Xenopus tropicalis: one gene and its partner. Each later gene encodes a partner of the first gene's protein in a complex. Links are inferred from orthologs where the notes say so. Each region holds a gene or a part of one and is shown in the gene's direction. Other genes may lie near its edges.

Region 1 (5,364 bases):
GTATCGCTGAGAGCCACGGCACGTGGAGCTTATTAAATTGCCCCTTTATTGGAGCTCCCTATAGATCCTCTCAGGTCCCTGTCTGTGTTTCAAATGAAGGGTGGGCGTGTCCATGGGGGCTCCAGTTTCATTGTTACCGTTACTTTTAATGAATTTTTTCTATTCAGTCCCTCTCCTATTCATATAGCTGTCTCTCATTCAAACCACTCCCTGGTTGCTAAGGTTGTGTGGACCCTAGCAACCAGATAGCTGTTATAACGCCAAACTGCAGAGCTGCTGAACCGAAAATGAAATAACTAAAAAACTACACATAATAAAAAATGAAGACCAGTAGCAATTTGTCTCAGAATATCCCTCTCTGCATCATAGTAAAGGTTAACGTGGAAGTGAAAGTGAACAACCCCTTTAAGACTAGAATTTCCTGGTGTGACGCTCTACAGCCAACGTAACTCCCACATCAAAGACCAGCGCCCATTCTATGTTTATTTACTTTGTGTTTCCCCCAGCAACCAAATGGTTAACCACCCTAACCCCAACTGTATTCTCATATCCGTGTTCCCTAAGCAGGCACAGACTGTAGGACGGGGCTCGGGGCCCCTTGCTCTAATTAGCAGCACTAATGACACGCTGACTTCCCTTGTATAAGCAGGTTTTACTTCCTACTGTAATTATATATATATATATGGCCTATAAAGCAGGCTCTATGTACTGTGTATTTCCCTGTATACTTGAGCAAATAGTTGTTAGCCCGTGTGTGATTGGCTGGAGAGTAATAGAAGAACCCCCACCCTATTGTGTAACAGCGAGGCGACCATGTTTCAGGGCTTTTCAGAACAACTTAAAAAGGGCGATATTACTTGGCATCTCCAGCATGACAAGGGCTTAAATATGTGCCTTATTTCTAGTAGCCAATCAGAATGCACCATATAGCCAGGTATAGGATAGTAATGGTGGCTGCAGTCCCCATGATTAAACAGAAGGTTGGCTATATATTCCTTTAAAGGGGTGGTTCACCTTTAAGTATGTTATAGAATTGCTAATTCTAAGCAACTTTTCAACTGGTCTTCATTTTTTGTTTTTGAATTATTTGCCTTTTTCCTCTGCCTCTTTGCAGCTTTCAAATGGGGGTCACTGACCCCGGCAGCCAAACCCTATTGCTCTGTGAGGCTCCAGTTTTATTGTTATTGTTACTTTATATCACTTATTCTTCTTTTCAGCCCCTCTCCTATTAATATACCTGTCTCTCATTCGAACCACTCCCTGGTTGCTAAGGTGATTTGAGTCTTAGAAACCAAATAGCTGCTGAAACTGCAAGCTGCCGAACAAAAAACCTGAAATAATTAAAAATCTACAAGTAATAAAAAATGAAGACCAATTGCAAATTGTCTCAGAATGTTACTCTCTACGTCATACTAAAAGTAACTCAAAGGTGGGCAACTCCTTTACGGTACCAACCCCCTTAGCAATAATGAGTGCAAATGGTTAACATGAAATTCCCTTGCATGGACATAACCAGTTATTATTAGGGCTGCGCCGAATCCCGGATTTGGTTTGAGATTCAGTAGAATCCGTCGGGGTGGGTTTGGGGGTTCGGCCGAACCCAAAAAAGTGGGTTTGCTGCATCCCTAGTCATTATTAATAACATGTATTTATAAAGCGCCAACATATTCCATAGCGCAGTACAATAATGGGTTATATAATTACTTAGATTGTAAGCGCTACGGGGCAGGGACCTCCTTCCTACTGTGTCTCATACCACATGGCACTTTATATATATATATATATATACATCTATATACAGAATGAGGGGCATTTGACACTACACAAGCCCCTCAGCAAGATGGAGCAAGTCTAGAGAGCAAACTTCCTGGCAGCCAATAGAATTGCAGAAGGAGAATCACATGATGAGGTGCGATAGCCGCCAGACTGCAAGTAGAAGGGCAAAATGACCAAACTGAATATTATATATAAATAATAATAAAATATAGAGGTATTACTTTGGCCTCTCATCTCTTCAGTAAGCTGAGGCTTTTATAGGGGAGAGTAATTTCTCAGGCAGCCTACAGAAGGGGTATCCTGCCACAGAATGAGGGGCAATTGACACCACAGAACAGAAGCCCCTCAGCAAGATGGAGCAAGTCTAGAGAGCGAAGTGTCTGGCAGCCAATAGAATTGCAGAAGGAGGATCACATGACGAGGTGCGCTAGCCAGTAGAAGGGCAAAGGAAGCATCACGTGAGGAAGAGTTGCAAGATGGCGGATGGTGTTGCCGGGTTCGGGCCGCGCCCCCAGTTCCCGCGTTGCTCGGTGTAGACGAGACGTTTCCCAGCGCGGCGGAACCCTAGAGAAACGATAGCCGCTTTCTCTGCCTCACACACCGGCGCCTTAGCGAACGGAAGGAACCGCGCGTTCCCGCCTTCCACTCAGAGCGAAAGGAGTCGGGGGCGCGCACGTACCCACCCAGCGCCGCTCCCGCGCACGCACCGCCAGGACCGCTCCCCCGTCCCAGGGCCGCCGATGAGGCAGGAGTGAGCCAGGGCGAGTGTGTGTAAGATGGCGGACTTCCTGCCGTCCCGCTCCGTGCTGTCCGTGTGCTTCCCCAACTGTGTGCTCACCAGCCGGGAGGCCGAGCAGCAGCGCAAGTCCAAGGAGATCGATCGCTGCCTCTCCCGGGAGAAAACCTACGTCAAGCGCCTGGTGAAGATCCTGCTGCTGGGGGCCGGGGAGAGCGGCAAGTCCACCTTCCTCAAGCAGATGCGCATCATCCACGGGCAGGACTTCGACCTGCGGGCCAAGGAGGAGTTCCGGGCAACCATCTACAGCAACGTCATCAAAGGTACCCGGCCCGGGGCAATTGTGTCACTAGTTACCCACTGGGGGTAACTAAACCTGCCCCAGCAGGATACCCCCCCCCCCTCATGTGTAGGAATGGGTTAATTACCCCGGGGAAGGGATTAGGGGGGTATGTAGGGCAATTATAGCAAACCTACCCACAGGGGGGGCACTTAAACTGGGGGTAACTAAACCTGCCCCAGCAGGATACCCCCCCATGTGTAGGAATGGGTTAATTACCCCGGGGAAGGGATTAGGGGGGTATGTAGGGCAATTATAGCAAGCCTACCCACAGGGGGGGCACTTAAACTGGGGGTAACTAAACCTGCCCCAGCAGGATACCCCCCCCCCCATGTGTAGGAATGGATTAATTACCCCGGGGATGTGATTAGGGGGGTATGTAGGGCAACTATAGCAAACCTACGCACAGGGGGGGCACTTAAACTGGGGGTAACTAAACCTGCCCCAGCAGGATACCCCCCCCATGTGCAGGAATGGGTTAATTACCCCAGGGAAGTGATTAGGGGGGTATGTAGGGCAATTATAGCAAACCTACCCACATGGGGGGCACTTGAACTGGGGGTAACTAAACCTGCCCCAGCAGGATACCCCCCCATGTGCAGGAATGTGTTAATTACCCTGGGGACGTGACTAGCCCTACATACCCCCATGTAGGGCAACTATAGCAAACCTACCCATGGGGGTGGCACTTAAACTGGGGGTAACTAAACCTGCCCCAGCAGAGTGCCCCCCTATGTGCAGGAATGAGTTAATTACCCTGGGGAAGTGATTAGGGGGGGTATGTAGGGCAACTATAGCAAACCTACACAGGGGTGGCACTTAAACTGGGGGTACCTAATTGCTCCCCCCCCCCCCCCGCATGCAGAATGTGTTAATTTCTCCGGGAAAGTGAATAGGGGGGTATGTAGGGCAGCAATAGCAAACCTGCCCCATCAGATTGCCCCCGTATGTGAGGTGGGTATGTGCAGGAATGTGTTAATTACCCCGGGGAAGTGATTTTAGGGGTATATAGGGCAACTATAGCAAACACCCACAGGGGTGGCACTTAAACTGGGGGTAACTAAATCTGCCCCATCAGAGTACCCCCCCCCATGTGCAGGAATGTGTTAATTACCCCGGGGAAGTGATTAGGGGGGTATGAGGGGCAACGATAGCAAACCTACCCACATGGGTGGCACTTAAACTGGGTTTACTTAAACCTGCCCCATCAGTGTACCCCCTATGTGCAGGAGTGTGTTAATTACCCTGGGGAAGTGATTAGGGGGGTATGTAGGGCAACAATAGCAAACCTACACACAAGGGTGGCACTTAAACTGGGGGTACCCAAACCTGCCCCATCAGTGTACCCCCTATGTGCAGGAGTGTGTTAATTACCCTGGGGAAGTGATTAGGGGGGTATGTAGGGCAACTAAAACAAACCTATATGTATGGGCTAGGGGTATCTACAGAAATGTCTTCCAATATACCCCAGGGCATTTATCCAAAAATCTACCCCTTTGTTGGACAGTTAGATTGGCGGAGTATCTGCAGCAGCATTATATTTTGTTCCTGGGGGGCGGTTGTGCTAAGGGGCATCAGTAGCCCCGTTACCCCAGGGGTTTGAGTGGCGAGCGCTATATAAAGGTACCCCAGTTCCAGTAGTGGGGGTAATAGTTTGTACATCGTCAAATTTTACCCTTTCAGAGGGGCACGGTTATATTGGGGAAGTGCTTACCCACAGCAGCACTATTGGTGCCACCCCGGGGGTCACAACATCCTTACTAATACCCCAGGGGGCAGGGTGGGACGTGGCACTGAAGGCGTTGACATCACGTGTGAAGTTATCTGGGACTGGGTGACAGTTGCTGTATGTTTACAAGGTACCGGGGGGGGGGGTCCATATTATGGGGCCCCAGTGTTCTCTAGTTACCCCTAGTGGGGCATACATGTGCTTGTTGGTAATGACATCCAAGTGACACCAAAGGGGGCAATTATAATGGGACCTTTGGGTAACCTGTGCAAGGATTAATTAGATCCATGGGGGGAGGGATGTAGATACCCCTGGGGTTTGGGCAGATTTTGCGGAATTTGGGGAGGGGGCAATTGTGTCAAAATGATCAACTTGGCTACCACTGCAAAGTTACCCCCAAAGCTGGGCAGCCCAGAGGGGTGTCATCAGTGGTTCATCTTCCCCTTTAGTAAGTACAGCGTACAGTAATGGCCCCTCAGTGACACTAACCCTTGGATAGGGTAACCGGGGGGGGGGGGGGCATAATGGGGGGCGGGGTTTTGCAGCAGTGACATTAAGTGTTATCCATCATGGCTTCTACTCTGGCTTCATTCAGCTTCCCCAAAGGTCACCAAGGTAACGGGTACACTTATAGGCATGGGGGCATTTATAGGGTGGGGGTATATGGGCAATGTAGCATTGCTATCATAGGGAACCCCAGGAAGGAGCCGTGTAATATGCCCTCCCTGCAGGGGGAGCGGGGTGTCTGTGACATTAGTGGGGTGCATTGGGCCCTGGGTAGTG
Region 2 (5,364 bases), on another chromosome or scaffold:
CGGCATACTTTGAACTCCTGCTAGCATATCCTATCTCCTCTCACCTCAATACTGTTTATTTCAATGAGTAGTCTACATGTACAGTATTTGGCAGTGTGTGGCAGTTTAAGGTTTCAGTATGGCTACAATGGCTGGTCACAAAAAAACCAAGGTATTTGGGCACCAGATCAAGCTTTCATATAGTGATTTGCTACAACTGTAACGCTACAGAATTCTCTTCCAGAAGCCGTTGTAGTGGTAGATACAATGTGTACTTCTGAGAAGGGGTACGATGGTACACGTATTCAATCTCATGAACTGGTGAACTGCAATTTTGAATCAAGAAGGTATTCTCCCTGTGAGGCAAACTAAAGATTTTTTTTGTTTGCTTTTTTCTGGATCAAGTAGAAATTAAGCAGATACAGTGTGTAAAAAGTTTGAACTTAGATAAACCTGTATTTTGTTAAGTTTAGCTACTATGTCAATATGTACATTTTCAGGCATGATTAAAGACTATAAAAAACTTTCTTTTTTATATTTAATGTTAGTACCATTTAAGGGTTGTGAGCCATTGGTATGATTAAAGTAAATCTGAGAGAAATAGGGCATCCATATAGTGAACTGCATTGAAGCACAATTGATTAAATTGTGGAATAGTTAGGTGAGTCTATGAGAAGCATTTAGAATGGACCAGTTAAGTGTAGTTTGAAAAAGGAGAAAGTTACTATAGTTAAGATGGGCAAATATTAAACAGTACATATGTATTTAGACTGTTTAATGCTGTGCACATAAAAGTAGCATTATTTGGTATGGCTTTGAATGTAAAGTGTAAAACAGGAAGCAAAGGTAAAGGCTGACTTTGCTATCTGACATCAAGCAGATAGGAGAATGGCAATATTTGACTTGTGCTTGTACAGAAAGTGTGAAATCTCATGTACAGAGGTAGAACTGGTTGTCTTTTGCATGAAGATGATATTTATTGGGATTTCTGATCAGCACACTATCCTGGTTCTTAAGATGCTGATCATAAAACGTAGAAGGTATAAATGCCTCTAAACAACTTAAAAAATTTGAAGCCTTCCAAAACTCTCTAAAACAGAACAAATTGGCATTACGAGTTATAGCAACCACCCACTGGGTGATAGCTTTGAACTGGCTTGCCCCATACTTGGCTGGAGCAAGAAAAATATTCACTCAATGCATTAGCTCTCTGCAATGTTATAAAAGTTGAGATACACAAGGAAATTTGGGAACCCTGGACTTTATTTCGAACACAAGAACTTTGGCACCCGAAGCCATGTGATATAAGAAACCATGTCCCAGCAAGATTATAAAACCTAGCCATACAAGCTCTTTCACAGATTTGCTTTATTTCACAACTCTATTTATGGATTGCCTATGTAACAGTACAGTGCTTTATATAATTAGTATATCTTTATAGCATAGATACTTACCAAAAGTGAAGAGGTTACTACGCAAGAGTAGAATACTAAGTTAAACACACAGGCCCGGATTTGTGGAGAGGCCACAAAGGCCCGGGCCTAGGGCGGCAGAAATGTAGGGGCGGCATGCCGCCCCGCCGCAACGGAATTTTTAAAGTTTTTTTCAATACGGAGCAGTGGGAACTTCTCCCCACTGCTTTGTATGGGACTTTAAATGTATGCGCATGGGCGAGCGGTTGTTTGCGCATGGGGGGGGGGCGATCAACGGGGGCGGCCTAGGGGCCCCCAGAAGACAAATCCGGCCCTGTAAACACATAAAACATTATAGTAAATATAGACATTGCCATTTTATGACACTGATGGGCTCACTGCTTAGATCTCATAGGTGGGTTCCATCACACTTTTTAATAAAAGGATATGAAACAGGGTATTTAAAATGGTAGGTTAAAGCCAAACTCATTCAAACTTTATTGAAGAGGAAAAGGCTGATAGTGGCTGACAGTGGTTCCACTGGTTTGTCATGGGCAGTAAACTTATGTTAGTGTATACCTCATTCAGAGATGGTAAATTAGATACATTACATTCTCAAAAATGCCCGGAATGGATTATTACCACACTAATGACATGAGGCTAGTTGACATCTCTTCACAGAATCAAGAACTATATACAATGAGGTTCAGCATAGGTAGTTTAATGTCTTGTACACACTTTGCTCTTCACTGATTTCTACTCAGCAGGGTTAATCTTTAGCCCAGCCCCTTGAGTCTGCTGCCTATCTACAAGACAAACCTCTGTGCCGGCTCTTCCATGCACACCATGTACTGTGCTCAGTACAGCTAGAGCTCTGCAAGCTACAGAAAGTGTGCTGCAAACTAAAGAGAGTAATTCAAGAACTTCAGGCAAGGTCAGGCATGATACAGACTACTCTGCAAATTAAGCCATTAGTTTCCTCCCACTCCAAGAAAGGTGAGTGTTTTTATATTGCAAAAATACTCACATAGTAGAGTAGAGGAGAGTAAACTAATAAAGGCACCCTCTGCTTTTTTTTTTAGCATTACTAAAATAGATATAGTATGTATTTGTTTTGTTCATATTTAGGGATGGCCAATCTGGGCTCTCCAGCTGGTAGTAAACTACAACTCCTGTCTTTTCACCAGACCTTGGCTGGTTTCTCTCTGGAATTACTACTCACTCCTCCTTCTTTACTCTGTAATAAGTCTGCACTCACTTTCTTGCTAACTATAATTCTTTATTTTGTCCTTAAAATACAGCACACACTCCTTCCAGCTCTCCTCTCCCCTCTGCTCTGTGTTCCCTGCATGCACTCTCTCTCTTTTGATTCACACTCTAATCTTGCTCGGTATGTAAATATTTATATGGCACAGGGACACTCAATTAGTCACTGACACTCTACTCTCTATCCTAGTTCTTCCTCCCCCGTACTACTCTCTTCTAGTATCTAGCCTCCTCTATCACACTCATTCTCTTTCTCCCTCTCTCCCATGACGGATGGTAATGAGGTATCGCAGAGAAAACCAGAGGTGAGCACTCTCTTAAGACACTGAGTCTAGACAGAATAACCAAGACCACAGGCTAGCTGACAGAAGCAATCTTTTGAGTATACAATCAGTATACCTAAATTGGCTTCACATACTAAGTTTTTCATCCTATGATTAATCTAAAATCCCACAACTGTCTTGCTTGTATTAATAATACAGCTACCTCCTTTACAGTATTAACCTCATACACTGCTAACAATAATTAGCACATTCTACAAGAAGGCACCTAACTGTCAAAGATAGGTTAGTGCTCCCCCGTCAAATCTGTACTACTATATAGAAAAAAGTTATATTACTAATTCATATTTCATATGTCATATGTCATACTCTTACACTCAATTCCCTCAAACTTGAACCTTTTCACATTACAACACAGGAATCTGTTAGTCCACTGCATCCATATGATATTTTATTTTGCTATTGCACAGTTACAGTTGTGGTTATTTATAGTAAGCACAACACAACATAAAAGCTGCAACTTTCATAACATGTTGTGCACAAAAACAGGCTTGTTTAATTACATTCTCAATATTTAGTTCAAATCCATTAACCAGTGTTCATACACTGACACTCCATTCAACTTGTTCCTCTTTACTAAATCACTTTTGCAAGTAGTTGGTGCCGCTCCTATCACTACTCCTGCTATAATACACCTGGTGTAATACACACACCCAGATGGCAAAGTTACCTGTCGCTTAACCACTACAACACCCACTACAAAGTATTATTTCACCAGTTTCCGTTACAGCCCTAAATAATTATATTGTTATACACAAGACCAAACTACTTATAGATGTATTTTGTTTTTACTCCAGACTATTCACTGTGTTTAGTGTTATCAGAAGGAGAAGTCATGTGCCAAAATGTGCATTTCAACTAAGCAGCTATACTACTCCGCACCCCCCAGAGGCAGGGAAGTAAGGAGTGAACAAGAGAAAGCAAACGAAAAAGACAGTGAAGACAGAACAGAAAACAGTAAAGGAAATAACAGAAGAAGAAATACTGAACGCTCTCTCTTGGACATTTTTCTCCTCTTTCACCTTACTTGCCATGTCTAACTTCACCCCAGATGCCTGCAATGTAGACTCTGGTCTGGACAGTGTTCTTCCTCCATCACTCTATGCTTTGGTTTTCACGTTGGGCTTGCCAGCAAACCTACTAGCCCTTTGGGCAGCTTGGCTTCAGGTGCGAAAAGGAAGAGAACTTGGTGTCTACTTACTCAACCTTTCTCTCTCTGACCTTCTACTTATTTGCGCTCTTCCTCCCTGGACGGACTACTACCTTCGAAGAGATGTGTGGGGATATGGCCCTGGTGCCTGTCGCTTATTCGGCTTTGTTTTCTACACTAACTTGTATGTTGGTGCAGCTTTTCTCTCTTGTGTTTCTGCTGACCGTTACCTGGCAGTGGCACATCCTTTGAGGTTCCCAGGTGCAAGACCCATTCGCTCTGCTGCTGCTGTCTCGGCACTGATATGGATGCTTGAGTTGGCAGCCAACGCTCCACCACTATTGGGTGAAGCTATCCACCGAGACCGCTACAACCACACATTTTGCTATGAGAGCTACCCTCTTTCTGGAAGAGGGGCTGCCTTAGCCAATGTAGGGAGGGTTTTGGCTGGATTTTTGCTGCCCTGGGGGGTCATGATGCTGTGCTACGCTGGTCTCCTACGAGCATTAAGGGGTAGCGCATCCTGTGAGCAAAGGGAACGAAGAAGGGTGCGGCGACTAGCTTTAGGGCTTCCATGTGTAGCACTACTTTGCTATGGGCCCTACCATGCTTTGCTGCTTTTACGCAGCTTGGTGTTTCTGGTGGGTGGGGGTTCAGTCGATGCAGGTGGAGGGTGTGCACTCGAGGAGAGACTGTTCCCAGCATACCATGCATCATTGGCACTGGCCACATTGAACTGTCTGGCAGATCCTGCCCTTTATTGCTTGGCATGTCCTGGTGCTCGAGGTGAAGTGGCAAAAGTTGTAGGAGGGGTAGTGGCATGGGCAATGGGAAAGGAAAGGAGAGCTTGGGGAGAACGAGGTGGTAATGGTAGGGGATGTGGGGAAGGAGAGGAGGTGGGGATGGTAGAGTTAAGAGGAAATGGGAGAGAGTTTGTAGTGTGACTTTGGGTTGAGGAGGGTAATAAGGACTTTTGTTTCTCTGTTCAATAAATTAAATTAAAGCAATGGCATTTAAGCTGCAGTTTCTGTTACTGGTGGAGGAATTCCCGATAAAAGGAGAATAACCAATCATGACCAATGCAACTAACTGGAGTGAGCAAGGTAAAGGCATGTACAGAGCAGATACTCTGCATAAGTAGAGATGCTCTGCAGTTTTGTCTTTGCCATCTGTGTGCTGAGTCAGTGTGTGTTACGCAGGCACATTAGAGGGATCT

The links. The genes of interacting proteins can lie anywhere in the genome.
Region 2: the proteins of gna13 (region 1) and gpr4 are in contact, whole or in part, in a cryo-EM structure (PDB 9JHP), measured with the Homo sapiens proteins. The link is inferred for Xenopus tropicalis from reciprocal best matches to the Homo sapiens genes GNA13 and GPR4. Residues at the interface, in NP_006563.2 of Homo sapiens: Arg47, Pro341, Tyr343, Phe359, Lys363, Asp364, Ile366, Leu367, His368, Asn370, Leu371, Lys372, Gln373, Leu374, Met375, Leu376, Gln377; in NP_005273.1 of Homo sapiens: Gln45, Asn50, Arg115, Ala118, Val119, Ala120, Pro122, Leu123, Ala126, Ile204, Val208, Ser211, Val212, Ser213, Thr214, Glu218, Lys221, Ile222, Leu225, Asn290, Glu291, Gly292, Ala293.

What each region holds. Positions count from the first base shown.
Region 1 is NC_030686.2:50,664,450-50,669,813, reverse strand, and holds the start of gna13 (guanine nucleotide-binding protein subunit alpha-13), read left to right. Parts: upstream 1-2,267; 5' UTR 2,268-2,552; coding exon 2,553-2,835; intron 2,836-5,364. Other genes in the region: regulator of G-protein signaling 9, read right to left, coding at 1,998-2,010. UniProt on the Homo sapiens protein: Guanine nucleotide-binding proteins (G proteins) are involved as modulators or transducers in various transmembrane signaling systems.
Region 2 is NC_030684.2:70,519,430-70,524,793, forward strand, and holds the start of gpr4 (G-protein coupled receptor 4), read left to right. Parts: upstream 1-2,117; 5' UTR 2,118-2,387; intron 2,388-2,454; exon of another isoform or gene 2,455-2,962; intron 2,963-3,795; 5' UTR 3,796-4,030; coding exon 4,031-5,092; 3' UTR 5,093-5,364. UniProt on the Homo sapiens protein: Proton-sensing G-protein coupled receptor activated by extracellular pH, which is required to monitor pH changes and generate adaptive reactions. Activated by an optimal pH of 6.8-7.2.